3 linked regions of the Alligator mississippiensis genome follow. The protein of the gene in region 1 purifies or fractionates together with the protein of each later gene. This does not show direct contact. Links are inferred from orthologs where the notes say so. Each region holds a gene or a part of one and is shown in the gene's direction. Other genes may lie near its edges.

The links.
Region 2: the proteins of ZC3H18 (region 1) and FUS purify together in Homo sapiens (affinity purification with mass spectrometry; 3 studies listed by BioGRID and IntAct, with this or other methods). This does not show direct contact. The link is inferred for Alligator mississippiensis from reciprocal best matches to the Homo sapiens genes ZC3H18 and FUS.
Region 3: the proteins of ZC3H18 (region 1) and RBBP6 purify together in Homo sapiens (affinity purification with mass spectrometry; 3 studies listed by BioGRID and IntAct, counting the BioPlex papers as one, with this or other methods). This does not show direct contact. The link is inferred for Alligator mississippiensis from reciprocal best matches to the Homo sapiens genes ZC3H18 and RBBP6.

The regions. Positions count from the first base shown.
Region 1 is NC_081833.1:75,181,657-75,192,012, forward strand, and holds the start of ZC3H18 (zinc finger CCCH domain-containing protein 18), read left to right. Parts: upstream 1-5,192; 5' UTR 5,193-5,298; intron 5,299-10,356. Other genes in the region: thyrotropin-releasing hormone receptor, read right to left, coding at 511-887.
Region 2 is NC_081830.1:431,165-441,922, reverse strand, and holds the start of FUS (RNA-binding protein FUS), read left to right. Parts: upstream 1-6,711; 5' UTR 6,712-6,751; coding exon 6,752-6,764; intron 6,765-7,096; exon of another isoform or gene 7,097-7,464; intron 7,465-7,847; coding exon 7,848-7,872; intron 7,873-8,319; coding exon 8,320-8,474; intron 8,475-9,120; coding exon 9,121-9,262; intron 9,263-9,656; coding exon 9,657-9,865; intron 9,866-10,131; coding exon 10,132-10,315; intron 10,316-10,758. Other genes in the region: BCKDK (3-methyl-2-oxobutanoate dehydrogenase [lipoamide] kinase, mitochondrial), read left to right, coding at 1-47, 186-347, 440-584; nucleolar protein 3, read right to left, coding at 3,162-3,451, 3,867-4,167. UniProt on the Homo sapiens protein: DNA/RNA-binding protein that plays a role in various cellular processes such as transcription regulation, RNA splicing, RNA transport, DNA repair and damage response. Binds to ssRNA containing the consensus sequence 5'-AGGUAA-3'.
Region 3 is NC_081836.1:58,479,649-58,489,976, forward strand, and holds the start of RBBP6 (E3 ubiquitin-protein ligase RBBP6), read left to right. Parts: upstream 1-6,281; 5' UTR 6,282-6,560; coding exon 6,561-6,726; intron 6,727-10,328. UniProt on the Homo sapiens protein: E3 ubiquitin-protein ligase which promotes ubiquitination of YBX1, leading to its degradation by the proteasome.

The DNA.
Region 1 (10,356 bases):
TGGCTTGAGAGCACTTACACCAGCATGAGCCTCAGTTTTCGGGCCCACCCAGATCCCCTTGCAGTGCCGGTGCTGCAGCATTCACACCCGATTCACCCACTAGATAAGGTGGGCAATGCCCACAGCAGAGAGCAGGAGGGCTTGATATGGGGAGGAGCGTGTGTGCACTAGCTCTGCACAGGCGTGTTTGTGCATGACCCCCCCCATGCACATCTCCAGAGTGGGGGATAACTAGCTCCCCAGCAGCAGGGTGTTGGCAGGAGCCCACCCCTGGCTTCCCGTTGTGTGGGTCAGGGTGTGTTGATGTCCTGGGAGCTGGGCTGAATGGCTGTTCCTGGAGGTTTTAAGAGCTTGTCTAGCATGGTCCAGATGCAGCCGCCCCTGACTGCAGCTTGCCAGCATTAGCTGGCTGACCAGCAGCTCCCAAGTGCCCGGGGTTGGCATCATAGAGCCAACTGCTCTGGCTGGGTCTGCAAGGGTCGCCACAAAGCAGCTGGCATCCGCTCCTACCTCTCGACGGTGAAGGCGGTGATGGAGCAGGAGGACACGTTGATGCCTAGATACTGGAAGTAGGTGATGCCGAGGCAGCCAGCATGCCCGTACACCCAGGTGCCTGCCAGGCTGTCGGAGATGTTGGGCAGCCCGGCAGCCACCAGCACCATCAGGTCGGCCACTGCCAGGCTCACCAGGTAGCAGTTGGTGGGCGTCTTCATGTCCCGGGTGATGAGCACCACCAGCACCACCATGACGTTGCCCACGATGCCGGCTCCGCAGATGAGCAGCACCAGGAAGACGGAGATGGCCTTGTACTCGAGCAAGGCCAGGCCGGTGTCGGCGCCCGCCAGCGAGATGTTGGTGGGGCTGTCAAGCCTGCTGCTGTTCTCCATCGTCACGGCCTGCTGGGAGCTTGCAGCCGCTTCGGCAGCTGCCAGGAGGGGCTGTGCTGGTTGCCTGTGCCCTGCTCCCCCCGGGTCCCGTGTGCAGGGGTGCCTCAGTGGTGCTGCAAGGAAAGGACCATGTCAGCGACCAGCCTGCCCGTGTTTGCGCTCCCGCAGGGAGCTGCCTCCTCTCTCTCTCCCAAGCTGCTCTGTTGCCCTGTGCTGGGGGTATCCCGGGGATGCATCCCAGGAGGAACCCCAGACAGGGTAGAGTTGGGGCTGGCTGGCTCAGGACTTGGGCAAATCTTGTCTGGGGCTTGAGGTGGGGCTTAGCAAACCTCCCCGTCGGCTGGGAGCCCCGGTGCTTGCTGGCGAGGCCTTGGCAGTGAGTTCGAGGGGCAGTAGCCGGTCATCAGAGCTGCCGGTGCTGAGCTGCCGCAGGGGGCTGGCGGGCGGGGGCTCTCGGCTTCCTCTGTCTCTATTCATCCCAGGCTTATTGCCATGGTGACAGCCCACCCCCCTCCATCCTGCCTGCCTCTCTTCCTCTCTGACACTTGCGGGGTCCGTCTGCTCCCCTCCCCTGCCATTCCCGCCACTGGCCTGGCCTGATCCTGCACAGTGCTGAGCACAGTGAGACCCCAGCATCAGACCTCATAGTGAAGGCATCTGCACAGGGGGCGGTGCCTGGGGGTGGGTGTGGGGTGATGCCTCCTGGACATGGAGTCACCCATGTCGTGGGCATCTACACGTGTGTGCGCCCTGGGTGGGGGGCCCTGTGCTGGCATGGAGCTGCATGCTGGAAATGCTTGTCATTGCACCCAGGCCAGCCCCTCTTGCTGATGTAGGATTACCCCCCTCCCAAGGCCACGGATGTAGCCAGCAGCAGGGTTGGGATGTAGCCAGCAGCTGAGGAGTTTGGAGGTGTCTGGTGATCCGAGTCCCTGGTGAGGGGAGAGCTCGTAGTCCATGTGCTGTGAGAGGCAAGAGCAATGCCATCTGCCTCACAGCAGGAACGTAGCGCTCTCTCCTCCCTTGGCTACCAGATGCCAGAGACCCCCCCAAGCCCACACTTCGGGGCTTGCGTGTGCCCCGCTCCTTAGGTGGAGGTTGAGGTGCTGCCTGGACCCAGGGGCACCCAGGCTGGCCGCGTCACCCCGCGCTAGCTCCCAGTGGGATGCAGGCATGGGGCACAGGGCTCGTCAGACAGATGCAGCTGGAAATCTTGCTGCCAAACCACATAGGTGGCCTCCGGGACGACCCAACTAGGACAAGCAAAAAGATGCACCCCCTTCAAAACCTCCTGCTCCAGCCTGTCTGGAACAAAGACTCTTGCTATTGCCTTGCCTTCCTTCCCGCCAACAGGGAAAGCTCTGATGGAGCCCAATGCAGCACTGCGGGGGGGTGGGTTTCCCTGGCCAGAGCTCGGGGTTTTATTCTGATCTGAAGTGACAGCCACTGTCAGCATCTCACAGCCGGTGTCACCCTCTCCCCAGCTGCACCACGGAGCAGGTCTGTGCATCCCCACAGCCCTGGATGCGTCGCGCAGGCTCTGGCAGCCGACGTCCAGCTGATCTCCCACGAAGGGGAATGGACACAGATTCCCAGAACAGTTCGACGGGCGCAGCTGGAGTCCGGGGAAGGGGGTCTCAGCACATGTCAGACAGCGCACCGGGAATGGAGCGGAGCATGGCCTGACAGCTGGCAGCATCAGGTGCTTTGTCTATCTGCAGCTGCCTGGTTCCTTTGGTCCCTTGCACTGGATCTTAGAAACTCAGGGGAATATCCCCAGCCCTCCCCTCATTCGTCCCCTCCAGCTCCTTGCTCTCTCCTTGCTGCCCCTCTTTGCAAAGTCAGCCCCGCTCCCACCAGCGGCTGAAACACCCACCAAAGAAACTTCCCTGCAGAACTTACTGGGGAAGGCGCCGGACCCCAGAGCAGCCAGGGGACAGAAGCAGGTGGACACGGTGGAGCAGCTGGCATTCCCGAGCTGGTTTCACGCCATCCCTTCCCCACCAGGCAGCAGCCGGGCTCCCTGCCTCTCCCCGTCTGCTCTGCCTGGCTGCTGCGGCTGGCTGCAGATATAAGGGGACTCCTCATCAGCTGATACAGCTCCTCGCTCCTCGCTAACCTATGGGAGCAGAGACTTTGTGCCCACCACCGTGGGGGCTCCTGGGTGTCTCGAGCCCTGCACCCCTCTGTTCATCTCCAGCCATATAATATTAGACTCCTTTGCTTCTAGCTCCAGCCCCACACCTCAGCCCTGGGGCATCCCTGCCTGGCTTGTGGGCCCGCAGCTCAGCGGAGATCCCTGGCTTTGCTGTCCATGCCTTGCAGTCCTGAAAGGAGCAGCCCTGCCTCAAAGGCAGAACTGCCCCATGGGGCACTGGCTTTCTCAAGGCATCACAGCAAACCCCGCTGGAGCCGGGGACTAGTGGGGTCCCTGCCTCCGCAGGAAGACAGGGGTCTCCCCGCTCTCCTCTCCGGCTGCCTGCGAGGCCTTGCGGGCGCATTCATGGGTTTGTGGCTGGCTGCGGAGGAGAAGCCAAAGCAGGTTCTTCAGGCCCAGGTGGGTGGTAATTACAGGGAGCTGACCCAGGCGGCTGCTTCCAGGCCTGTGTTGCTCCCAGGTGGGGGAAGTGTCCTGGGCAAGAGTTTCCCTGCTGCATCTGCAGCTTGCCCAGCTGGGAGCCAATGCAGGTGGAGAGAGGGGAGGGCACAGTCTCCACAGCAGGGACCTGGTGGTGCCCTCCCTGCCAAACCACATCCATTGCCTCCCCACCTGGTCTCCTAAGGGATAGCGGTGGCATGGGCACAAGCCTCCCAGAGCTGCCCTGGCAGGGCTGTGCATGCTGCTGCTGAGGGTCTCCAGCCCCCGTGCTAGTTGGGGTAGCACAGCTCATTGAGCTGCTCCTGGCCTTTGCTAGGGGCTGCCACAGGACAGGGGCAGTCTGGGGCTCACAGTGCTGTGACAACCTTCCCGCTGCAGGTGCAAGAGCATTTGCAGACGTCGTAACCTGGGCTCAGGCATGGCCCAGCAGTGGGGAGCGGATCCCAGCTCTGGCACTGCTGTGCTGAGCCACACCGAGCCCATCATCAATGCACAATCTGCCTCTATCTTCTGTGAGGGTTTGGGGGTGTGGGCGCTGCTAATTAGCGTGTATTTGCATAATGCTAGGGACTGGGAACTGCTTGCTTATTAAGATTAGTGATGTGTTTTTCCCAAGGATGAAGCCAGCCAAACCAAAGCGCAGGGCAGGACAAGACAGCGGCATCTGGCAGCTCAGCCCGTGAACCCAGGTGAATGCTGGCCCCCGGGAACCGCAGGGGAGACCCATGAGCTGCCCCCATGACCGTCCCTGCTTAGGACCGCGCTGGATGGAGCCCCACAGTTGTGGAGATGGGGTGGATCCGCCAGCTGGGGAAGAGGGGAAAGTCCCAGAGGATGGTGCAGCCCCTTGGGTCGTGGCCAGGTGATTCCTGCAAGCCACGAGCAAAGCCCATCCCTGGCATACAGCCTGCACCCGGCCAGGGCAGGAGCGGGTCACCTAGGGCTAATGCCCGCGTGGTTGCAAGGAGCTGAGCCCACTGCAGACATAGGGCATGCCACCGAGCTCAGGCCTGAGATCCACATGACAGACACCCCTGCGCTGCTCTGGGAGGACTGTGATAGAGACGTGGCTAGCTAAGGGACTGACCTCGGGGTCCCTACCCCCCCAGCTGTAGGATTTCCGGTCATTCTGGGGGTGCTTTATAGTCTGGAGGGGGCTGATCCTGCCTCAGGCAGGGGGCTGGACTGGATGCGACCTTGGGGGTCCCCCCTGCTGTCGGATTTGTCACTCTGGGGGTGTCTGGGGTGCTGCGGAGGGGACTGATCCTGCCCCCTGGATATGGATATGACCCCCAGCCCCCCTGCTGTAATAGACAGTCTGGAGGGGGCTGATCCTGCCTCAAGCAGGGGGTTGTCGGGGGAGGGGTCCCCCCTAACCCCACTGCTGTCGGATTTCTGTCACTCTGGGGGTGCCTGGAGGGGGCTGATCCTGCCCCCTGCATATGGATGCGACCTCAAGAGCACCCCCCTTGTAAGATTTGTGCGGCTCATGGAGGGGGGGTGATCACCTGAGAGCCCCAGCACTGAGCCGTGTGGCCCATGGGACACCAGCCCACGTGCCCCGGGGGCGCGGCCCCTTTAAGGCCCGGCCGGGTAGGGGCGGGGGCTGCTCCTCCCTCCTCCCTCCTCCCCCTACCTCTCCCCCTCCCTCTCCCTCTCCCGCCTGCGCGGGCGCGTCGCGTTGCGTCGCGCGCTGATGATGTCACGCCATGGCCGCCCTGCGCCGCCGCCGCCGCGCGTAGAGGCCCCGTCGCGCGCCCAGAGCCGGAGCCGCCGCCCCCGGCCCCCCCGCCGCCCCCTCCCCCCGCACAGGTGAGGAGCGGCCCGGGACGGGGGAGGGGGCGGCAAGCGCGGAGGGGCCCGGGCCCAGCGCGAGGGGCGGGGCCTGGGGACGGGGCTGGGCCCTCATGGGGGGGCGGGCACCCCAGAATGGGGGATGGGGACCAGAGTGGGGGGAGGGGCTGCGGGGTTGGCATCCGTGCAGAGCGGGGGCTGGCGGCCTGGTCCCATTGGGGGGGTGCACCCGTGTGGGGGATGGGCTTGGGTGCACCGGAGTGGGGGAGGGGTGGGGCCCAGTGATGGGTGCACCACAGTGGGGGGGATGGTCCCATGGGGGGGGTACAGCAGAGTGGGGGGGTCCCATTGAGTATACTTTGGGATGGTCCCATGGGGGGTGCACTAGAGGGGGGGGTCCCATTGAGTATACTGGGGGGATGGTCCCATGGGGGGTGCACTAGAGGGGGGGGTCCCATTGAGTACACTGAGGGGATGGTCCCATGGGGGGGTGCACTGGGGGGATGGTCCCATGGGGGGTGCACTAGAGGGGGGGTCCCATTGAGTACACTGGGGGGATGGTCCCATGGGGGGGTACACCCATGTGGGGGGTGGGCTTGGGTGCCTCAGAGTGGGGGAGGGGCTGGGCCCAATGGCGGCAGGGGCCTGCTGGGCATAGCAGCGTGGGGGAGGGGCTGGGGGCCGGTGGCCAGACACCAGGAGAAGGGGGTGAGGGGCTGGCTCCCACAGAGGTTGTGGGGCGGGGGGTGGGCGCAGGGGAGCCGCGTCCAGACGTGCTCGTGAGTTTTGTGGAGGAGCGTGGGAAGAAGGTCCCCATGTCCAGCTCCCAGGGGTGCCGCCATCACCCGGAGCGGCGCGTCCCAGCCCCACGTCGCCCTGTGCCAGCCGGGCCGTCTCCTGCTCCCCGAGGCTCCCTGCAGGAGCTGCCATCGCAGCCTCTGCCCCGAGCAGGATCCGCGCGCTTTGCCCTTAGTGCTGTGCTGCCGAATTACCCGCCATCATTGTTCCAGGGAGGATTTTCCTGCCGTGGTTCCAGTGCGTTAGGATCAGTAACCCCCCAAATATTCCCCATGAATCAACAGCAGAGCCGAAGAGAGCTGAACTCTCGCTCCCGAGCACCTCCAGGTTTGTTTGGACCCGGGACAGAGATCAAAATCTTTTCCTGATCTAAACAAATCCTTGGCTGACTTGAATGCTTAACTCTGCTGCCTAATTATTCATGCATGTGTGCTGAATGCCTTAAAAATGTGTTTATTCCCAGTAGCAGACTGGTATCCCATAGGGAACAGCTAGTGGAAGAGATTGACTTGCCCCAGCAGCGGTAAGTTGTGACGTTTGAACTCCAGCACTGGAGCTGTTCAGTCTCTAATCCACCAGAGAAGGCAGGGAACTGTGTCCCCTCGTTGGGCTGGAGTTAGGGTTTCGGAAAGTGCGACTTGGGGGATGTGGGAAGCTGGCTTTGGAAGTGGCTATCACAAGGGAGTGCTGTAGGACTAGTGCTGAAGAGAGCTTCGTGCAGCCTTTGAGAGGCTTTCTTGATGCCTCCCCACTAGTTTGACAAATCCAAGTCGCCCCTCACCCGCACACACGTACATCTTCTAAACCGTACTTTCTCTAAGGGAGCAGGGCAGGTATGTATTTGATTTTATTGACTTTGTCAGCTACCTGACAGGTTTTCAGGGATGTGTTTGGTAGCTGTGTTGGTCTGAGACAAAAAGAAATGCAAAAATCTAGAACTCTTGGTTCAGAGAGATGATGCCTTTTATCAGACCAACTAAGAAATCGCAAAAAAAAAAAATTGGTCTTGTTCTGCAAGCTTTTGGGCTCACATGCCGTTCATCAGGGAAAATTAAAGATGGTAAAATGTCCCCTAGGTAGGAAATAAAACTTCATTTTTGCACAGTGGGAAGCTGGAGATGGAGGTCTGTCCTTCTGGGTCCATGAGTGTTGCAGGTTTTCAGGCCTTTAACTATACCCCTCAGCTTTTGTTCTGCCTACCTTCTTGGCTTTCATCTGAATCTTTTCTTCCTCTTCTTAGATCCCACTGTCTCTTTTTTTTCTGAGCCATATTTAGCGTCTCTTTTTCTGTTCTGTTCCTTTATATTTTTTCTTTCCCTAGCTCCTCACCTCTGTTTGTCTCCTGTCTTCCTGTCCATCTCCCCAAGTCACTCATCATCCTGCTCTTTGTCTAACCTATCCCATTAGTGTTTCTCTTTTGATGTTTTTCCCTACATCTGCCCACTGGCCCTCACCCACCCATATACATAGGTTGGCCAAAAGGAATTGCCAGGTACTAGATATCCCATGGACTACCAGAAACAGACTCACATAAAAGATAATGACAGGGCAAAGATCAGATTAGAGAAGTCAGCTTTTCTCTGCTGTTTGCAAAGGAAAAGGTGCTGCAGTTCACTGTACAGCTGCAACTGGATGCTGCTCAGGAGCTCTGCTGTGGACTGTTTTTGTGTTGGCCTCTGGCTACTACGTGTCTGATGTATGTGAAACCCTTTCATCACCTCCAGCTCTCTTTGACAGCTGAAAGGGAGAGGGAATGCTTTCAGGAAGAAAGCCTCCTGCTGGCTGCTGAGCCAGTCTGTAAGAGTCTCTCGCGATGTCGTATCTGCTCTGACTAGAGGTCTTTTCCAATCTGTTCCTCACTCTGTTCCTGAAGTCCTGTTATGAGGTTTTCTTCGCAGGGCTGCTACTGTTGCTCTCACCTTTCTGCAACTATCCATCTTGCCGATGACTCATGGAACTTCAAAGTATTTTCTGTTCCAGCTCTGGCCAACTTTTCACTTTCTGCTCTTTAGGAAAGCACTGAGCAGTCACTGAAGTACTAGAGCCACCTGAAGGAGACTCTTACTTCATTGGTTTTTGCTCTGATCAGGGTTTTGAGATTCTCTTTGCTAGTATACTGGCTGAACCATTTTTTTTTTTTTAATGACAGGAGGTTCTGCAGCAATTGTTGGAACTTGATAGAGCTTTTCCAGTAGTCCTGTCTTTCTCAAACCCTTGCTTAAGTAGCAGCATCTAAAGGACAAAGCCACTTTCAGCGTGGTTACAGAAAGTATTCTTGAGGTTTGATGACAACGAGTTAACCTGTGTTCATAATGTTGGAGTGATGTTATAGCCCTGATGGTCCAGGAAGTATGCCAAAGGCAAAAAGTTTTTGTGAGTGATGCCTTTTATTGGACAAACTGCGTGGTTAGGATAGAGCTGGAGAAGCTCTCAATTGCAAGGCATTTCTTCATCACCTCCTTAACGTACTTTCACCTCTAGTTCCTTGGACCCACTGCTACCAGGCTGTCTTCAGCAACAGGTCAATTCACTGTTGTTGTAGACAAAGGTTAAATTTCCATAGGTTTAACTGGATGTGCTGCTTAAACTGTTGTGCCTTTCAGCCAGTTTTTATCAGAAAGCAGCAGAGCTTTAATTCAGCAGGCTGAGAGTGATAGCTATAGATTTTCTGATTAGCGCAGCTTGTCTGACTAAATTGCATGTGTGTCTAGCTATTAAGACATCACTATTAAAATAGGATACATTCCACTATGGGAATCCTTTGCACAACTTCTGTAGATTTTACTGGGAACAACATAGCAGCCGGGGGCAGAATTTAGCTCTGTTGCCTAGAACAGGCCTTGTCAAGGGCCGAAAACATTAACTCTACTCAATTCCATCACTTTCATTTTATGTCCAAGCCATTTCCCATCCTTATCTGTTAGTCCCTGCTTTAACAGAGAGTAGGAACTGGGCATGGTCCTGAATGCAGGACCTGCAGCCAAGATTTCCAGAGTATGCATCCAAGCTCTGACTCTCCTGCTCTTGCCTTGGGTAAGTTGCATTAAGAAAGCAGTGGATTCAAAATCTTATTCCAGAAAGTAAGTCCTCGCAACACTTAGCTGAATGCTGGATTAATGAAATGGCCATTTTAAAATCTCCACTAGCCACTTGGGGTTTTTCTTACTGCCTTTAGCTTTACTATACCTTCTTTCATGCTCTTGTCCAGTGCTGTATTTCTTTGTTGGTAAAACAGTGCAGGACAATATTTTTGTTAGAAGAAACAAATAATAATCTCTTTCTGTATATATTGAAGGTGAGTATTTTGCATAGCATTTGGTTGGTATAAACACTTTTTATTGAACATCAGCAATGTATGTATAAACCGTGAGAATAACATAAACTAGGTTTGTATAAACTGAGAAAAGTGGGGCAATGGAATAGACTGCATAGGGAAGTTGTGGACTCGTGATCATTGAAAGACTCTCCATCAAGGAGAGGCATATCAGCCACTGGTTGGGGATGATGGAGACGTAGCTGTGCCTATTTTCTACTTTGGGTCTTTCCCGTGCTTCTGAGCTTTGCTGGTTGTTCCCGCCCCCGTTCCCTCCCACTGCCTCTTTTTCCTGTTATGTGCGTCAGGGTGTTTTTTAGCCTCCCCAGAGAAATTGGCTGTTGGCTACAGCTAGGGCTGGGGACTTCAACTGAGGTATGCCAATTTTACAGGAGCAAAGCCAGAGTTTTATGGCTAGAGGGTCTTGCCCCTCTGCTCAGGGTCAGACTGATGCCATGGTCAGAGTGGCACAGACTTTGTGGGTTTTTTGCCTTCCCTTGTTGCAGGGGGCTCGGTCCTCTACCCAGAACCTTTTGACTATATATTGAGAACATTTTATAGAAGCAGGACATTGGCTGCCGTGGTTCCCTTGCTTTACCTGTGGTAGGTTAAGTCTATGTTGTGTCAGGGTTGAGGGTAATCTGATGTAGAGTTTGGACTGGGGTTGTATGGGATGGTTTGGATTGGGATGATCCTATCTCAGGGAGGAGGTCAGACTAGATGACCTCTGGAGGTCCCTTCCAGCCCTACTTCTCTGAGTAGGTATACAAATGCCTTGCTCATCTCTAGGCAGTCATCCCTAGGTTGGTCTAATAAAAGATATCAAATTCACCCAAGGAACCTTGTCTGCCTATGTCCTTAGACCAACACGGCTACAACCCAAACCCTTGCTCATCTCTAGAAACGTGTCAGCAGTGGTTTAAGATTTAGTTAATCGTATGAAGTTGCACAGTCAAGTGCTTCAA
Region 2 (10,758 bases), on another chromosome or scaffold:
GACATTGTCATCACCATCGCCAACAACGACATTGACCTCATCATCCGGTGCGGGGCGGGGAGGCGGACGCCTGGGTTGTGTAGGGCGGGGCGGGGAGCTGGGTTCCCTGGGGTGTGTGGGGGCTGAGAGCAGGGGGTTGTGGGTGCCCGGGCGCCTGGGGCCCCTGCCTGACCCCGCCCCCCCAGGATCTCGGACCGCGGCGGGGGCATCCCCCACGACCTGGTGGAGCGCGTGACCGACTACCACTTCACCACGGCCGAGAGCAGCGCCCAGGACCCGCGGCTCTGCGGCCTCTTCAGCAACATGGTGGACATGTCCAACAGCGGGCAGTCGGGGCCCATGCATGGGTGAGTTCCCAGCGGCCTTTGCGCCGGCCCCCCCCCCCCCCCCCCGGGGAGAGTCCAGGTGTCCGGGCCTGTTCTCACCCCTGCCCCCGCAGGTTCGGGTTCGGGCTGCCGACGTCGCGGGCCTACGCCGAGTACCTGGGGGGGTCCCTGTGCCTCCAGTCCTTGCAGGGCATCGGCACCGACGTCTACCTGCGCCTGCGCCACATCGACGGCAGGGAGGAGAGCTTCCGCATCTAGGGTCGCCGCCTGCCTGGCTTCCCTCCCGCTCCGCTCGGGGCGCGCTTGGCAGCCTCGGAGGCCTTGGCCGGGGCCTGGGAGGTCACTTCCCGGGTGGAGGACCCCACTTCCTGTGCGGGGGAGCCTCACGTCCTGCCTGGAGTGGCCCTGCTTCCTGCCCTGGTTGAGCCCTCGTTTCCTGTTTGCGTACCCCCGGTTCCTGTGGGGGGCGCCTCCCTTCCTCTCTGGAGCACCCCACTTCGTCCTCGTGCACACCCCTTGTTTCCTCGTCTGCCTATCCCGCACTTCCTGCCTGGCGGGCCTGTGTTTCCCGGCCTGGTCGACCACTTCCTGTCTGTGGACACCCCACCTCTTGTCCTGGTTGACCCCTGTCCCCACTTCCTGTCATAGCCAACCCCCACTTCCTGCCTGGAGGACCTGTATTTCCTGTCCTGCTCAACCACTTCCTGTCCCAGTCTTTCGTTCTTCCCTCCCCCATGCACACTTGCTTCCTGTCTCCCCCCCCCGTTTTTTCCCCCCCACTTCTTGTCCTCATCACCACTCCCCATCAACTGAGCGGACCCCCCCAGGACGGCAGTGGGGGGATGGCTTCGGATGACCCGCGTGGCCCTGCCCCTCTGGTAGGGTGGGGAAGACTTTGATCTTCGCACATGTCCTGCCCCCACCCCCCATGGACTATATTTGGGATTCTCCCAGGTGGCTTTGCGGCGGGGAGAGGATCGGATTCCCGTTGGACTCGTTGTATTTCACTACCATTATTAAACATGCAAATTTGGACAGGCCTTGGTGGACTGCAGGGGTCGGGGTCGGTACCACAGTGCCAAGTGGAGGCCGAGAGGGGTGCTCACTTCCTTCCCAGGAGAGTTGTCTTGGCTGCGGAGTGAAGAACGAGGAGCTGCTAACGACCCTCTCTCCTAAATGATCTCATTCCAGGATGTTGCTCTCCACTGGCTGTTCTCTCCCCTCCCATATCCCAGCCTCAAGTCATGGCTCCGCCCACAGAAATCGGGCTCCTGCAGCAACTAGCGCTTCAGCTTTAGTTGAGCAGGGACGGGGAAGGAAGCGTGAACACAGGAGCTGGCCCATGGGGCTAAACCCTGGAAAAGCCTTGTTGGGAGAGGCGGGGAGAGGAAGAAACAAGGTGCCCGCGTTGTATGCGAGGTAATACAGGATCTCCCCAGAGCTCTGCAATCAGGTCTGAGGGGAGAAGGCTCCTAATTACCATAACGACCTCCAAACAGTTAAGGATAAAGAACACCCCTCCTACTTCATACAGGCGGGGTGGGGATTTACCATATTGCTGTGTATATAACGCATCTAGGGTCCCTTTGACAAATTGGCTTATATGCTAATTATGCCATTAGTTTTGAGTACATAATGTTCTCTCCCCGCTGCTTTTCCCTGTAAGTGGGGGCATGTCCACCTGCCTTTGGCCTGCTCAATTTAAAGGGAAAGGAACCTTTTGGGTTTTGTCCCCTTTTCCACAGCGTGGGCATGTGCCACATCAGAGGGTGCGTGATAGGCGGCTAAATACGGTATGTTGCAGTGATCAGGTTCTGTTCATCCAAGATGCAGGCTGGATTTAGCCCCCTCCCCTGATCTGTCTCCGTAACCTCATTGGCCTGCTTGCTACCTCATTTTCCACTGGTAGGATGTCAATTACCTTATTTATTGGCATATAACTCTCACCTGCCCCCCCCCCACTGAAAATGGGGGTCTCCAGCTGGCTCGGGACAGTACGATTTAAAGGGGAAAATCATTTTGATTAGTCTTCCCCAAATGGCGGGGCGGGTTTCATCTGAGAGCGGTGGTAGTCGCACGAATACGGTGCGCTGGGAGCAAGTTACGTCAGCGTCCTGTACGCAGGCCGAGGTCACCACTGGGAAGTGGGCAAGTGAAAGGTCTCCTCCCCTCGTTAACCTCACCCCCGCGGCTGCTGCTTTGCATCACGCTCATATAGTGCCCGTTACTGTATTAATGCCTATTATCACAGTAATTGGTACGCATGCTCACATTTTTCTCTTTACCCTCTGCCTGGTCTCTCTCGTTTACCTCCTTGGTCCTGAAGCCTGGTCCAGCTGCTGCTCTGTTACGCCGCTACCATGGCAGTGCCCGTGTTTATTGGGGTACAATGTCACTTACCACACTTACTGGTATACAACATTCCCTTTTTTATCCCTTTCTAGGACTGTCTCGTCTCCCTCCTCCCCCTCATTGGTTTGAACCGCCTAAATCCTGGTCTGGCTGCTACTTTTTGTTACACTCATGTAATGCCAGTTACCAAATGTATTGGTGTATAATGTCGGCTACCGTATTTATTAGTATACAACATGCTTTCCCCCCACTCATGACTCTCATTTCCCTTATTCATGCCACCATTGGCTTGAATGGCCTTACTCCTGGTCTGGCTGCTGCTTTGTGTTATGCTCAGATAATGCCAGTTACTGTATTTATTGGTATACAACACTCACTTTTTTCCTCCCTCTCTACAACTGTCACGTCTCCCTCATTCATCTCCTTGTTTAAATGTTCTAGATGCTTTGATTTTTGTTGTTGATTTTTCTTTTGGGGGGGGTGTTAATCGGTGTCTGAATATGTTTCCTCTGGCTCTGGCTCTGGCTCTGGCTCTGGTTCTTCTGGGCTTCCGCCCTCCTCTTCCTCCGGGTCCGGGGCTGTGTCTGCTTCCCCCTCAGCCCCTTCCCCTTCCTCCTGGGGATCCCCCTCATTGTCTTCCTCCCCCTCCTTGTCTCTTGGCGTTTCTTCTTCCTGCTCTCCTGCTCCTGCAGCTGGTTCGGGGTGGACACAGTCCCTCTCCTGGCGCTCAGAGAATCGCGATGGCTGCGCGTCTCGTTCGGGGTTGTAGAAATCTAGCCAGGCAGGGAGAAACGCAATTAATTAATTAAAAAGCAGAGGAGGGAACAGAATAACGGGAACAATGAGCTGTGTTTTACTGTGTTTTCTAGTGCACAACCCGCCTATTTTTCTCCCCACTATACCACAACGCTAATCTCCCATCTCCGTTTCCTTTTGCTTTGCGTGCTGGTCTTGGCACGTTGATGAGGGGACAGATATTCTGCCACTTCCCCATCCAGTCGAGGGAGAGGAGCTTGGTGGTTCCTGGGTAGAGCTTTTTATAAAGAAAACCAAAGCAAAGAAGAAATGTAGGTGGTTTGGAGGTGGCGGGGAGGTTAAACATGGCAACAGGGGTGGTGCGAGCTCAAATCCAAGCCTACGCTGTGCTGTGTTGCATGCAGGAAAACATGGTGAAGGGGCACAGCTTACCGTAGAGCGAGGGCCGGGGAAGCGGCGGGTGCAGCAAGGCCTGAACGGAGCCTGGGAAGAGGGCGTCCACCTGCTCCAGGAGGGCCCGGCAAGCCGCCTCCCCCTTCTTCTGAATGCAAATGAGCAGCTTCCTGACCTTGGGCCCTGCCCCCGGCGTCTGGTTGAGGGCGTCGTATTCGTCCTCACTGAGGAGCGACTGGGCCACCAGCTCGTCCAGGGTGTTCTCGGGATCGCGCCCGATGATGTCCACGAGCTCCTGGCGGTGGTCGCGGACGGCGGCGTAGCTGCTGCCAGCCGCCATTGCCGGGCTCTGCCGTAGCTTCTAGCGTACGACGCGTCTCCCCTTTAAATCACGCATGTGGCTCATTTGGGAAGAGGCAGAAAAAAGAGTTCCCACCCCCCAGCACCTCTGAGCCCAACCATTCAGCCTTTTCCTTTCAGCCGTGCCCCTCCCAAAAGCGGCAAGGGGAGGCACCTTACTTACTCACCTACCACGCGCCTCTTTCCCCCCAAAACTCAGGGAATGGAGCTGGAAATGGATGCTGGAGAGTGCAGTGACATGGGAAACTTCCCCCCACCCTCCTTTCCCAATGAAGATGTGGGCTGCAGTGACAGGCATGTGATACATGAATAAATATGATCGTTTGCTGTCCGTGTCTCCCCTTTTTTAAGCGGTTTAGAAGTTGTATCCGAAGCCAAAGAAATACGATGGGTGAATTAGTCAGGCCTGTATTCTTCCAAAGGCTGGAGGGCCGTAGCCACCCCTACTTCGGCATGCTCTAGCTTCTGTATTTTCTAGCGCACAACAGGCCCCTTTGCTCGCCTCTGGGAGACAGGTGTGCATTACACGTCAGAAAATACGGTAACGCCCAGGCTGCACTGCAGGGATCAAGGCAGGAGAGTTTCTCTGTGGGGCAAAAAAATCAGCTTTCCTGCTTGATATGCACCCTCCAAACTTGTGGGGGCTGAGTTGGGGGCAGGGATCGCATGTTATATGCATGAAAATGCGGTAATAACACAGCTGCCGCAATGGGGATGACAGCAAGGGGGCTTCCCTCTGGGGCAAGAAACCAGATTCCCCCCTCGTGCACCCCGCCTCAAAATATGGGGGGGCAGGCACGTGCACGCTATACATGGGAAAATATGGTAATGCCAGAGCTGTTGCCTTATGGGAGGTGGTTCAAAGCAGCAGCTGGTCCTTGCCCTGGGGCAATACCCAGCTGCCCCCTACCCCAAATGTGGGGGGTGATTTCTGGGAGGGGGCAATAGCAGCACGGGCTAGGTTTCTACTGTATCTTCCCGCATAAAAGTGCCCTCTCCCTGGTTCCTTGTAGGCCTGATCCCTGGGGGGGGGGTCAGTTTCTCCCCATCAGCTGGGCGGGGGTGGGGGGAAGGAGGAGTCCCCCGTGCCCCTATTTCCCCTGCCCCATCCCCCCCCATCAGGCCAAGGGGGTGATGGGAAGAAGGCCCAACCTGCAGCTGAGTCACGCAGGCAGCGCAGCGCAGCGCAGCGCGTCCCGTCCCCTGTGCCCCCCGCCTGTCCCGTCCTGGGGGAGGCGCCGGGCTGGCCCATGTGGGGGGCGGGGGGGGTGCACTATTTGTGTCCTGGAGAAGCTGAAGGGGAGGGGGGAGCGGTTACCATACTTGCTTGTGTATAATACTCCCCTTGATGACAAAATAATCTGCTGCCTTGCAGAAGGGCCTCACAGCAGATGAGCGTGGCATGGAGAGGCACCCCCCCCCCGGGCTCCCCCCCTACGCTCCACACAACCCCGCCCAAGCCCAGGCGTCCAGGCTGCCCGCCCCACTGTCCGGGAGATGGGGGGTAGGTGGGGGGGGATGTGGGGGGTGGCAAGGACCATTGGGCTCCCTGTTGCCAAGGCAACGGCCCAGCTGGTTTAAGCCGGTCCAGACTGGTGAGCCTGGTGTTCCAGGGGAGGAAACCATTGAGCAGGCGTGCGGGGGGGACGGACAGCAAGGCCTGTGGGCCCAGAGCGCGACCCAGGCGTCCAGGCCACCCACCCACGCGCGTGCACACACACCTCCGGTGTCGTGGCATCGCACACACACACAGATCCCAGGCGTATAACCTGTGTGCATGTACATGCATGCGTGCACGCACAAAACCCAGGTGTCCGGGCCGTGTGCGTGCATGCACCCACACCCACACACAGCCCCCCCCCGAACTTGCAAAACAATTCCTCTTTCGCGTACACACACGTGTGCATGCACAAACAAGAGTCCCCAGGTATCCAGGACACACACACACACACCCCCCAGGCATCCAACACGCGCACGCACACACACCCTGTCCACAAAGGCCCCATCTCTCTCACCCCCTTCCGCATCCTGCACAACCCCCTTTCCACCCGTACCCCCCATTGCACACCCAAGTACACACACCAATTACACCCCCACTGTGCATCCATTTACACTGCTGCACACCCACTCGTATATACCAGTTCACACCCCAGCGCACACACCATTTACACCCCCATTGCAAGCCCCCAGCCAGCTGCAGCTTACACCCCCCCACTTCTCCCACATGGTTCCTTCCCCCCTCCCCCCCACCGCCATGAGCTCATCCCTCCCCCCCACCGCAGCCCCGCGGACTGTACCATTCCTCCTCCCGCGGGGAGGGGCAGGAAGAGCAGCACCCTCCCCTTTCAGAGCACGACAGCAACACCGGGGAGGGGGGCAATCCGCACGCGGGGGGGGGGAGCGAGGGCTCAGGGGAAATGGGGCGGGGGGAGACGAAGCTGTGCTGCGCTCCCCCCTTTCTGCGGATGGTAGCGGCCGGGGGCGGGGCGGGACGGGGCGGGTATATCAAGGCCGGGGGCGGGGGCGGGCGCGCAGTGCGGTGCGGGGCAGCGCGGAGGGAGGACATGGCGTCTAACGGTGAGGGCTAGGCTGCTTTTCGGGGTGCAACGTAGGCGCTGCAATTAAGTCATACAATGGTGGGGAGGCCACGGGGGTGGCAGTGACGTCGTGCAGTGCTCGGGGCTACGCATGGACTGTAATGTGAGGACTTCCGGGGGGCAGCGAGGTCGCGTGCTGGCTTAAGAGGGCAATCGTGCAGTGGCGATAGCGGGGGCCGCGGTTACGTCATGCGAGGGGTTGGTGGGGGGTGAGGGACGTCCAGGGGAGCTCTAGGGGGTGGAGTGATGTCACGAGTCGGGGCATGTCGTGACCTCATGTAGGGGGCGGGGGGGCCCCTGGGGTGCACTTACCTCACGGAGCAGGGGTGGGTTGGGATGACGTCACAACGGGCGGGGGGGCCTGCCACGACGTCATACAAAGGGTTGGGGGTACCTCGGCAAGCCCACCGGAGCGCGACCTGGCGCAAAGCTTTGTGGGGGTGCAAGCTAGTGTTCCTCCGTTTCTGGCCCCCGGCCGTGCTGGAGGAAAGCCAGCGCCCGCCATTTTCCGGGCGGGCGGGGCCCGGCGGTTCCCTTTATCCAGCTGCGCCATTGGGCACCATTTTGTGTGCCAAGATGGCGGCGGCCGCCGTCCCCGCGTGGGCCGGAGGGAGCCGGCTGCGCATGCGCGCCGGAGGGGGGCGCGGGATTTGCGTGGTGGCGCCTGCGCAGTGCGGGAGCGTCCGGGGCGGGCCGGCGTGTGCGCAACGGGCCGCTGCGGCGCCCTGGGGTTAGTGCGCATGCGCAGTCGCGGCAACTCCGACCGCTCTTGCTTCCCCCCCACGTGCGTCCCTGGGCGGAAGGACACCCGCGCGCGTCCGCGGATGCTGCGGGGGAGGGGGGAGCAGGCACAGCCGTGAATCCCAGGGTTGTCTCGGTACCGTAGCAAGTGCTGCCTTCCTGCCTTCCTTGGGGTGACATGACTCCTGCTACCCCCCTCCCCCGCTACAGGCACTGTCCCTTGTGCCGGGGTGTGGGGCCGCCATGCCCACACTGACGGGGGGGGGCGAGCTTAGGCTTTGGGGTCCTAACGGTTTCTCTCGCTTTTCTCCCCGTCTTGCAGATTATTCCCAGCCGGCGACACAGAGGTAATGGCACCCCCCCCCCCCCCGCCGGCCCTCGTGGCAAGCCTGGGCGCAGGCCCTCGCCTTCCCTGTCCACCCAGTGCCCCATTTCCCAGTCAGACCAGTGGGCCTGTTCTCTTAGTGTCTGGTTTTCCCAGTCCCATCAGAGTTGCATCCTATCCAGCGTCCCATCTTCCCAGTCAAACCGGTGGCCAGTCCTGTCTTATGTCCTGGCCGAACAGGGCATCCCGTCCTGGGTGTCGCCCTCCCAGTCCAACTCGCCCCTGTGTCCCCCCAGTCCAGCCAGTGGCCCGTCTCCTCCTGTACCCCCCCCCCCCCCCCCGGTCCAGCCAGTGGCCCGTCTCCCCCCCCCCCCCCCCCCCCCCGGTCCAACCAGCAGGCCCACTTCTGGCGGGTGCCCGCACCCAGGGGCTAGGAGGATCTCACGTCCCCGGGCGTCCTCTCTTGCAGCTACGGGGCCTACCCCACTCCGCCGGGGCAGGGCTACTCGCAGCAGGCCAGCCAGCCCTACAGCCAGCAGAGCTACAGCGGGTACGGGCAGTCGGGGGACACCTCGGGCTACGGCCAGAACAGCTACAGCTCCTCCTACGGCCAGACGCAGAGCAGTACGTCTTCGTGTGCCGCCCCCTCCCCCACAGCCTGCCTACCTCCTACGTTCACTTTCCAGCCCTGCCTTGCACATTTGCTGTATTCTCTTTTTCCCAGCCTGCCTTGTATATACATCTCCCTTCCTGGCCTGCCTATATCTACATGTTCCCCTCCCCCCAGCTGCCCTGAGCTCATGCGTGGATGCATGCATGAGATATGTACACATGTGAATGCACATGTGGGTATTACGTATGGACATACGCGTGCCTGTTTCAGCTGGTCCGTAAGGTTCAACTCTTCTTTTTTAATTTATTCTCCTCTGCGGCAAGAGAGGCTCACCTCAGCCACGGCAGAGCAGCAGCTCTCTGGTTTTGCTCCTTTGGCAAGTCACCCCCAGCTTTGTTTTTTGGCAGCGTTTGATCTCGCTTGTGGCAGCCTCGTTAAAGCATCAGGTCTACATCCTCCTTGCCGGTGGCGCTCTCCTGAATGCTTCTTGAGCAGCTTCTGTCTATTAAATTGGCTCTCATAATTTTTGTCTTACGCGTTGGGGAAACTGAGGTGTAAAGGAGTGCCAGTCCATAAGGGCAGCAGATATTGGGGTGGGCGGTTTGTTCACTTTTGGGGTACAGGTGTTGAAAGAGGTCTGTGTTCTCCCCCTGCCAGGTTATAGTACTCCGTCAACGCCACAAGGCTACGGGACGTCAACAGGGTACGGGAGCAGCCAGACATCACAGAGCTCCTATGGGCAGCCGTCCTCCTACCCTGGCTACTCGCAGCAGCCAGCAGCCAGCTCTTCCAGTGGAAGGTATCTGTGGGAAACCCAGGCCCCTTGCTCTCACCAGCACCCGCTCACCTCCCCTCCTGGAGAGCCAGGTGTCTGGGTCCCCAATTCCCTGTAATCTAGCCCAGCAGCACGCGGTCCTTGCCTAGAGAACCTCATCCTGCAGCTGTCACTGCATCTCGGGCTCCTCCCAGGGTTTCTTAGCTCTGAACACTACACCCCCTCGCATCCCCTCCCAGAAAACCCAGGTGTCCAGGCTCCCATTCCCCTCTGTTCTCACCTACGAGACCATGTGCAATTTGCAGAGAACTTGGGCATCTGGGTCCCCAGTCCCTGTGTGCCCCCCTCCCAGGCCAGGAACCCAAGTGTCTCTCAGATCCCCTGCCTACAGCCCCATGTCTTTTCCCTCTTGCCCCAGCTATGGCAGCAGCTCCCAGAGCAGCGGTTATGGGCAGCCCCAGAGCGGCGGCAGCAGCAGTGGGGGCAGCGGCTACGGCCAGCAGTCCAGCTACAGCAGCCAGCAGCAGAGTTCCTATGGGCAGCCGTCATCCTACAACTCTTCTCAGGGCTATGGCCAGCAGAGCCAATACAGCAGCAGTGGTGGCGGAGGTGGCAGCAGCAGTGGCTGTGAGTCCTTGGGGGGGGGCAGTTCGGAGGGGGGGTTGCTATTAAATGGCTTTCCTTTCCCCCAGTTGTGGGGATGGGGGAGAACCCAGGTATCCAGGAGCCTGTGGACCCCTTTGCTTCTATAGAGTTAGGGGTAGACCCCAGGAGTCCTGGCTCTTGGCTGTAAACCAACACCCCCCCCCCCCGATGTAGAGGTAGTCCAGAGGTGGGAAGAACCCAGGTGTCTGGGCCCCCCACACTGAGCTGTCCCCCTTTTTCTCCTGCAGCCGGCAGCTATGGCCAGGACCAGTCCATGAGTGGTGGTGGTGGTGGTGGCAGCTACAACAACCAGGACCAGGGCAGCTATGGTGGAGGCCAGCAAGACCGTAGCCGTGGGCGCGGGGGCTATGGCCGCGGCGGCTTTGATCGAGGTGGCCGAGGCAGCCGGGGAGGCCGCGGTGGAGGCATGGGGTAGGTGTCCACATGCTCCTGGTGGGACAGGGATCATGCAACAGCCTTGTTCGGCCTAGGTGGGGAAACACAGTTGCTTCCACCCCCCTCCCCCATCCCTGCCACTAGTCCTGATTTCTTTTTAAAGCTGGAGAGAAACTAGCTCAGAAGTTGTCCCACGCTTTCAAAAGGCACTGACTTCATAGCTGGACTGCCATTTTTATGGTGTGCTGATGACTTTGCACGTGTGCCCAGCCTAACTTTTACTGCTTGACTCGCCACTGGATGGCGTGATACATGTAACTGTGGGGCAGGGGCCCACCCCGGGACCCCTCTGTGTCCTTGGGAACATGCTCGGAGGTGTGAATCACAAGTGCCTGATTGCATTCTGCTGCTATGCTATAGATTGTAAATTTCGGTGCTTTTCCCATCATATATCACTTATATTAAGGTGGTTTTCCCAT
Region 3 (10,328 bases), on another chromosome or scaffold:
CTTTTCCTCTTTCGTAGCCCTCACTTCAGGAAATTAATCCCAACAAAAGGAAGTCTGGATAGGGAAAGGCAAAGAACCGTCCTACCTATTTGTGTATCGCTTGACAGCTGCGGCTGCAGTTCCAAAATTATTTACTCAATGTCTGCATAGTATGTCTGCCAAGTGCTGGGCGCTTTCCAAATGGCCAGAGGCATGTTCTGCTTTAAGGAACTTGCAAGCTAATGGCTTGTGGCCCCACAGTTTATAAGCCATGTCAGAGTTAAAAGGATCAGTGACACACACACTCAGTAAAAGGTGTTTCTGTTGGGATGATTATTCCCATATATTTACAGAAATAAGCTGTTTCCTAAATGATGCAGGTAAATTGGCAAGTGGTACTTCAAGTAGTATGTAGTTCCCTTGGCAGCTTGTAATGATGTCTATAAACCAAGCAGCAGACTGATAAAACACCTCTTCTGCACCTATTCTTACTTTTCTTTCTCTTTCCTGACCAATCTGCAAATACAAAACAAAAACCTGGGACAAGTTCCCTTTTAGGTTGCCATGTGCAACTTAGACAATTTGCCACTGAAAGTGATAAAAGCAATCTTGATACCAGTGGGTGCACACAGAACTTGAAAGGAGAAACACTCTTAATGAGCATCATTCAAACAACCTTGACACAGCCCTGCTCTTTGTATAACCATTTCAGAGCACAATCCAACTTCCATTGAAAACCCAGAGAGCGCTCGCTTTGATTGTACTGAGGGGTCTCTCTACATGGTTGTTTAAATCATTAAAAGAAGCTTTAAACAAACATTTGGCAAATCAATGGTTTGCTATTTACCGTCCTTTTTTCTCCTCTGTGTGTGTGAGTGTGTGCGTGCGCACATGTGTCAGATCATGGATTCCTGGAAGACTGTTATGCTTATACTGGATCTGATAAAACATCACACGACCTATTGCATAATTACAGCGCATTTCATAATCCCTACAGTGCTCTGGAAATTGTGGAAGATCAGTTCATTTTGTGAATCTGTGCATTGTATCATGGATCAGAAGCTTTAAAAAGTTTGCATGGGTAAGAGCAAGGAACAAATATTTTGGAGTGTACGTCTAAGTGACTTAGAAACACAAATACACTAAAATCCATAGGACTTGTGTTTTAGTCATTTTTGTATATCCCACTCTTTGCATGTTTCTGAGTGAAAGAAATAGGTAAGGTTCATTTAGCCCTTGCTATTGTGGGGAGTGTTTTGTTGCAGAAGTACGGTGCTGCTCACATAGAATACTTTTGTTTAATGGTGTGTGAGATAAAGGTGATATAGGAATTGTTTATATAGCCTCACTTGGATTTTGATACTTTTCAATTCTATATAATGATATATATATATCTATATCTATCTATACGTTGAATGATATATATAAAATCAGTCGTCCTTTTCTTTTAAATGTGTATAGCAATCTTAACTGTATGTTAACATTTTTTAACTTCCTTTTTTTAAAGTATTTTAAAATGTTGTGTTTCTAATGCCACTGCAGACTGTCAGAGTTGCAATGGAAAAGCATTGACTGAATAATAATAATAATAATACATAGATATCAAAGATCTTATAAAAATCTATATACATTATAATCTGCATATAAGCTCCAAACTACCTACCCTACAGTTCATGACATCCATAAAGATCATTTGTCATTTGAAGTCTCAGAGGTCCAAAGTTTTGTTATTTAAAATGTTGATGGCAAATTTATTTTTCTTTAGGCCCATTTGCAATCAAACCCATTTCTTAACAAATGCATTTGTTCACAGGTGGACTTATCTACATCACTGTCTACTCAGAAGATTACCCTTGCAACCATTTGTAACCAGAAAGGCTAGAAAACTAATATTAAAAAAACCCAAAAAACAACCCTATGTTTTGCAAAATTCAAATCCTGTGTTCATAAATGCACTTGCTGCACAACTGCTGCATAACTTTAAAATGCTGTAATATTTTTAAATTTATTTTTTAATCCGGCAATTACTGAAAAATAATGATGGCATTCACGATAGGGTGTTTAAAAATTAATGTATACAATTACGTACATTTTGATCTTCTACCATAAACTACTGTATAGAGAAAGTGGCCACGAAATAATCTTGGGGATTATTTTTTTCTAATGTGAAAACTATATATTTGTCATTAGTTCATTCTTTGTAAACAGTTCTTACCATATAGGCCTTAAAGGTTACACTAGTAACATAACACCGAGCAATAGTTCCTTCCCAAAAATAAAAAAAAAGGTATAATTGGACACTACCCAGTATATGGACTTAAAATTGCAACCAGGAACTCCACAATCCTTAAAATATGAGAGCTATTTTCTATTTTCTTTCCTGTTTTATTTTCTCTGCTTCTGTGTCTATACAGATATATATATCTCTATATATATAGATATATATATATATAGTCTTCCTAGTTGCTTCTTAAATAGTGCTTCATTTCTCCATTTTCATTGCTTTGTTTCTGTTCTTTTCACTTTATCCCCAGCACATTACTTAAAAAAGAAAATATATCCAACCTACATATCTGAAAGTCACATTTGTTTGTTCTGGTAAATGACCAATGTATATCATGAATATTTGGGATGATGATTAGCTCTCTGTCTATGGTCATTAGTGATGACTTTGGAAATTCATTCATTCATTCATTCAAGTTTTTACGGGATGTTTGGAGATGCAATTTGCCTGTTCTGGGCCAAGAAATAATACAATTAACTTCTTTTGACAATCCGGTCATCTGTATCCAGCCTACAAGTGATACTGGCACACTCCCAAGAGCTAATCCCTGTAACCTAGTTCTTTCCCAGTATTTGTTATCTTATTACTTTGTAAGAAAATCACTTGTATTCAGTAGCAGAGTACTTTTCAGAACAGGGGAATAGCAGCCTGCAAATCGTTTTTCCCAAGTATCTTTTGACAAACTTGTGCATCCTGACCATTTCTTCATTCTGCCCCTCTTCTGAGCATCTAACACAGGGGTGGGCAATTATTTTGGGTGGAGGGCTGCTTACTGAGTTTTGCCAAGCCATCAAGGGCTGCATGACAGGCAGCCAGGGGCAGATAAATATTAATTTTCTAAATTTTTAGGGGCCCCGCGGGCTGGATAGCATGGCTTGGGAGGCCGCTTCCGGCCCATGGGCCACATTTTGTCCACCCCTGATCTAACAGAAACCTAAAGAACATTGCTCTGTTTGACACGTATCTAAATTACAAAATAGTTAAAGCCCACTTCCAAGAACAACAGAACTGTCCATAGGAATTTTTGCCAAAATCTGAATGCATTTCTAAGAGATGTCAACAGGAAGAGTGGCCAAAATGAGTAGGTTGTGTTCAGAGTTCATGGCCTACCTCTGTGATACAGACTGTCTGTTTCCCACCAGTATCGCCTGTCCAGCTCGCTGACAGGGAACATGGTGAGCTGGGTTCGTCTGCAGTCTAGTAGAAGGCAGGGAAGAGCAACCTGAGTGCAGATAAATTGGTGTTTTCACCACGGGACATGGTACCATGGCTTCCTACCTATCCTAAAGGTGCACCCATTGCTCCCATCCAAAGAGATCAGCTGGTACAACCAATGCTGGGATTGTCTTCAATGAAAAAGCCTTGTGTGAACCCTTGCAGGCTCAAGAAAGGGCCTTTAAGAGATTGTATTTAAACACATGGACACAGGTGGAAATTGGGATTTTTCTTAAGTAGAAGCTGACACCTTCAATACTGCGCCCGGTTTTGGTCCCCACCCATCAAAAAAGATATAGAATTAGAGAAGGTCCAGAGAAGCGCACCAAGGGTGATCAATGGTGTGGAGGGGTTTCCATATGGGGACAGACTAAAGGATCACAGACTCATAGAAAATTCAGGTTGAAGGGATGTCAGGAGGCCGCATCTAGTCCGACCCCCTGCTCCAAGCAGGACCAGCCCCAACTACATCTTCCCTGACAGGGCTTTGTGTACTCAGGTCTTCAAAACCCCCAAGGCTGGAGACTGCACCACCTCTCTGAGGAGCCTGTCCCAGTGCTTCACCACCCTCCTCATGAGACAGTTTTTCCTAATATCCAACCTCAACTTCCCTTGCTGCAGCTTGAGCCCATTGCTCCTTGTCTTGCCACCTGCCCCCACTGAGACCAGCCCAGCTCCATCCTCTTTGCAGCCCCCCTGCAGGGAGGTGAAGGCTGCTATTCAATCCCCCTCCATCTTCTCTTCTGCAGACTCAATCAGCCCAGTTCCCTCAGCCTCTCCTCACCAGTCCTGTCCCCCAGCCCCACAACCATCTTCGTTGCCCTCCGCTGGACTCTCTCCAATGTGTCCACATCCTTTCTGCAGTGGGGGTCCACAGCTGGACACAGGCCTCCAGATGTGGCCTCCCCAGTGCTGAATAGAGGGGAAGAATCACTGCCCTCGATTTGCTGGCAATGCTCCTACCGATGCAGCCCGGGATGCTGGGGAAGTATTTAGTATTTTGCAAACTTCTCATGTCCCCCCTTGAGCGTCGCATCTAAATGGACCAAACCTGGCCTCTTTACAGTGGACGATAAGATGAATATGCATCAACAGCATGTCCTTGTTGCCAAGAAGGCTAACATAGGGATTTATTATTTGCTCTCTCGCAATACGAGAACGAAGGGTCACACCATGAAACTAGTAGGCAGTACATTTAAAACTAAGACAAGGAAGTTCTTTAATGACCAGTGGGTCATTAAAGGGCAGAACTCCCTTGGCTGAGATGATGGAGTTGGAGCTGGTCCTGCTTGGAGCAGGGGTTGGGCTAGGCGTGACCTCCTGATCCAATGCATTCGTGGCCACCAGATATGGTGCAAGCCGACAGCGTAGCCAGATTCACCAAGGGACTGGACTCGTGCTTGGGGGCAACGGGCATCAGCAGCTACGGAGCATGGGAACGAGGGGCATGGCCTCTGCATCAGAAGTGCCTGGACCTTAAATGCTGGAGGTTGCAAGGGAGAGAAGGAAAACCCTGGTCAGACCCATTCACTCCCTCCTTCAGCCTCCACTCTCTGCCGCTGTGTGACGCTGGACACTGGGCACACCGGACCTAGGCTCTGGCGCCCTAAATAACAGCCGGTCTTATGTGCTGACGAAGAGAGAGCGCGTGTGAGAAAAGAAATGCAAGAATCTATAACTCTTGGTTCAGAGATGATACCTTTTATTAGACCTACTAAAAAAAATCGCCCCAAAAATTGTCTTTTTCTGCAAACTTTCGGGCTCACGCGCCCTTCATCCAGCTCAGGGAGAATTAAAGATGGTAAAAAGTCTGCATTGGCGAGGAAAAAAAGCAGACGAGGTTGTCTGGGCAAAGTGGTCTCTTTTATTAGACCAACTACAGTTGGGAAAATTGTTCTTTGCCAACTTCGGGGCACAAACAGCGTTGCCTGTCTGCAGCCATTCGGGGCTGGCCCCGACTTCCTCCTACGAATGAATGAACGATCTATGACTCGTTACACCAGCGCTTCCCAAACGTGTCCTCAGCACGACCCCCTTGAGGCCCGTTTCCCTGTGTCCCGGCCCGCAGCCCCCCACGTGCTGATGTTGGGACCCCTTTGGGCAGCACTGCCAACTCCGCGGGCGACCGGGGCCTCCTGCAAAAGCTGGCGTCGGCATCGGCGGCGGGGCCAGGGCTGGCGGGCACCCCGAGAAGCTGGCATCAGCGCCCGCAGTGGGGTACGGCCCTGTTGGGGGGGCACATGCCCCCTTCCCAGTCGCCTATGGCCAGCTGTCATGGTTTTTGGCGTTGTTCTTGAAGTCAGGAGCGTGAAAAACGCATGGAAATAGAGATAAAAGAAAGAGCTAAGGTTTTCACGTTCCCCACTCGTAGACATTAAAAGCAAGACCCCCAAATCATGAGTTGGCGACGCCGCCACAGCTTGGGGGCCGCTGCCTCGGACTCAGGAGGCGGTGAGCAACACCTGTGTGGGGAAGTGAACGGCTCTGCCAGCTCGCCCACCTCGGTGCGGGTCCCTGGCTGAGGCACAGAGGGGCACAAGGGGTCACCATGGGCACTGAGGGGACGACATGGGCACTGAGGGGACATAGGCACAACATGGGCACTGAGGGCGGTCCCAGGCTGTAGCCCCGCCTCCGCCCCCCCCACGTGTCACGTGACCCTGAGCGGGCGGGCGGGCGCCTTTGTCATAATGCGCCGGGTCACGTGGGGCGGGGGGCGTGGCGCGCTGTGACGCCTGCGCAGTGCGGCCGCTGCCCCGGCCCCTGCGGTTCCTGGTCGGGAAACCCCGCGCGGGGCCGCTGAGGCAGGCAGCCGCCATCGCGACGGGCCGGGCCTAGCCCCGGCGGCCCTCGCCTCGCCTCGTCTCGCCGCGCCTCGCGCCCGCACGGAGCAGCGCCGCCCGGCCCGGCCCGGCCCGGCCCCCCGCGCCGCCATGGAGCCTGCGGCGCCCGCGAGCACCGTAGCGGAGCGCCGCGGCCTGTGAGGCCCGGCCCGGCCCGGCCCGCCCCGCCCCAGCGCAGCCCGGCAGGCCGCTCGCGCCCGTCCCGCGGCCCGGGCCGCGTGCCCCCCGCCGGCGCGGCCATGTCCTGCGTGCACTACAAGTTCTCGTCCAAGCTGAACTATGACACGGTCACCTTCGACGGGCTCCACATCTCCCTGTGCGACCTCAAGCGCCAGATCATGGGCCGCGAGAAGCTCAAGGCGGCCGACTGCGACCTGCAGATCACCAACGCGCAGACCAAAGAAGGTGCGAGGGGAGGGGGGGGAGGAGCAGGCGGCCCCCCCCACCCTGGTGTGCCCCCCCCACCAATCCTGGTGTGTCCCCCCCCAATCCTGGTACAGCCCCCCCCCCAGTCCTGGTGCATCCCCATCCATCCCCCCAGACCCTGATGCCCCCCCCAATTCTGTTGTGTCCCCATCCCTCCTGTGTCCCCCCCCATCCTGGTGCATCCCCGTCCATCCCCATCCTGGTGCCCCCCCCCAGATCCTGGTGTGTCCCCCAAACTTGGGGGGGTACCAACCCCCCCTGCAGTCACATGGGGTACGTGGAGCTAAGAGGAGCCAACCAAGTACAAATGTTGTGTGGAGGAGTGCCGTCATCTTCACGGTAGCCACCCCTTGAACACCGTCATGGAGGGTGGTAAAGATTTCGAGGAGTACTTGCATGTGCTGTGGCAAGTCTTCTTGCTGATGAAAGTGTTGGTTACCACCAATATTTACAGCTTTCCTGGTTCTGAAGCCAGCAGAAAAATATGCGTGGAGGTTTTACAGGGCTAACTCCACACATTTTTTTGGTTTTGGGGGGGTCGGGGCGGGGGGGGGGGGGGAGGAAAAGAGGTTGAACCATATATTTGTAATGAAACAAGGAGTGACTTAGTCTGAAATGTGTGCTCTTTGTTCTAGTTTTATTTAATGGTAGGTTAGTTTTGTGTCTGTTGTGAGATTAGAAATGGTTATTGGGAGGTAGGAGTGAGACGCGGTGGGACGGTGGTCGTAGTGCCACTTCTTACATCTGGAGCAGACACTTTTTTTTTAAAGCCGTACTGTTCATATAACCACTAAAACAGTCTTTCAGGAGACTTGTTTGCATATGTGGACATGTCTGGGAGTTTCTGGTTAATGCAGATCATTTTCGTTTCTTCATCAAAGACCAAACATTCCTGGTCATTCACAGACTCTTTCAACTTCAGCTGGCAAACGGTCCAAAAAGAAGTCGATTGCTTCCCTGCAAACTAGTAGTACCAAGGAGTATACCACCAAGGAGGGTATTTGAATCTTAATATATTCAGCACAGTTCATATGACTCACACACACATCAGAAGTCTCTGAAAATACCTTTAATTGTGTCATGTGAATAGGGCTGATCAGTCATCAGGATTATTACTATTTCCTAAACAGAATATAAATTGAATCGACCAGTTGTATGGTTATGGATTAAAATTAGAATTAAAAATAGAATTAAAATTAACTTCCAAAAACTTTAGAAAGTGTCTTATTTTGTAATATTCTCATGTATTCAGTATTTTTCTTTTAAAAGAAATGCTGTCAATTTTAAATGACAATCAAAGTATTCAGGTATTGTGTCTTTCTGTGTCTACCTTCCTGCTTTTTTGGAATTTTTTTAAAGGCATTTGCCTTTTTTTATACCTTTTGCTGTGTGTTTATGCACAGGATACTCGGCTGGGGGGGGGTGTTGAAAAAAGGGGGGTGGAAATTACAGACAAGAAAATATGTCCTAATTCATCAAAGGCAGAGCTAAGATATTACTTGCATGTAGGTAAACATTTGTTAAGGAAATCAAATTTTAAAGATGATATGGCATTTTAAAGGTTAAGGTTTAGGGGCTGCCAGTGATGACACCGTCTCCCTACATATAGCTAAATGTTCATAATGCTGAACAAAACTAGGAGAGGTTTCTTTGCAGGCAGAATAACATTTACAGCGCGCAGTAGTAATTGGAATAATTTACAGCTAAAGTATACATGCTATAGTGCTTCATTTAAAGGGCTTCCCTGCACAAGAAAATTTTAAATGTCTCTAACTAGTATTAATGCTCTTCTAACAGTTATTGGGACCCTAATGTAAATGGCCAGGTGGCAAGGCTCACTATTTTAAGCACCTAGTGTCAAGAGTAGTATCTAGTTGAGAACAGCATCAGAATTAGCAACACTGAAAGGGAAGAACCTGAGCTGTTAACAGAAGAAAACTTACGGAAATAATTCAGTGCAGTAGCAAGAACATAGGAGTATTTCTAAAATTATAATCGCAGGCTAAGGGAGCAAGGAGCATATAGAACTAATCAAGTTCCATCAATATTAATCTTTTCCTCTGGGTTCTGTTTGGCTACAGTCTGACTTTTGTCAGATATTTAATAAATAAAAATTTTAATTACTGTAGAACTGAGCGTTTGTTGTTTGTCTATGTGGTTATTCAATCAAGAATTGAAGTAGATGTTACAAAGTGCAAAAAGTGATGTTTCTTCAAGACTATATGAAGTAATTGGTTTGTTTATAAAATACTTTATTAATCCATGTCCCACTCCCTGAATTTTGATTGTCTGCCTTTACTGCTCAGACATGGTAAGGTAAGGTAATGGATTGTGGGGGGGGCAGGAAAGAAGAAAAATCTATAATGAATTTGCCACCCTATAGTAAATTTTCATTTTGTTTTTATTTGACTGTACTTAATAAATACTCTAGTGTACTTTAATATTATACAAGCCAAAAATAAAGGGCTTTTCTGCACCTTCTTGTACTTGAGAAGGCACAATACCCAGGGAAACCTGGAGGAAAAATGCAGTTTCAAATTTGCTTTTTTGACCTTTATGGAAGAAGTGAGATTTTAAGAGTGATATGGATGAGTTATAATGGTGGCTTAGAGAACTAAAGTTAATGGTAAAAGATAATGTGATAAGTCATGGCACTTGGTGATTACAGCTTCTTGCTCAGGCAAGATTGGTAGAGGAATAGATGGGATTTGAGATGTAGCCGCGCCCCCCACCCGTGCAGAAGTTAGGGCAGGGTGCCCCTTGGGCCGTTTATAGACCGGGGGGGGAGTTCAATTAATGAGAGCCACTCTAATTAAAGCATCCGCAGTGTCACATCTATTGGCATCCCCACGCTGAAAAATGGCAGCGGAGGCACTTTAACTCTTTTTACAGCAATCCAGCAATTTTAATGTTTCGTGTTAGAAATGGAACACCTTGTTTTATACTGTGTATAAGCAGTATAAAGCAGTACTTGTACATTTATTGACGTGTGAACTTTGCAGTGAAAAACTTTATGCACATACGTAATTCCATTACCTTTTTCATTTCAATGAATAATATCTTTTAGGTAGTTTTGTTGGCAGCTTTCAAAAATGAAACTGTCAAGCAGTTTCATAGCTTGCTTTTCTTTGCCATGTGCTGTATAAGCTTTGGTACTTACATGGTGAGGATAAACAACGTCAGTGTTCTGCCTGATCTAGTAGGCAGTTTGTGTTAGGCTGGTTTAAACGAGGTAAGAAGTGCTTCACTTTGTGGCCTTCTCTATACTGGAGACTTGCGGAACTGGCTGTTATGCTTCTCGAGTCAGATGATGGATTTCAAATTCAACACTGAACATTTGTAGTATGCCTTGCATTCTTCTAGTATTAGCCAAGCTGTTCTAATTTTTTATTGCTTTTTGAAGCAACAGTTTTAGTGAGACTTGAAAAGATGGTTGATGCACTTTGGGAAGCGAGCGAGAAAACTGCTTGAATTGATTTAGCTAGTCTTCATGCACACCATGACTAAAACAGTTCAGCCAGAACTGATAGTGTCAAATAATACTTAGTCCTGCTGAAGTGTAATTTATTTGTCACGCTCAC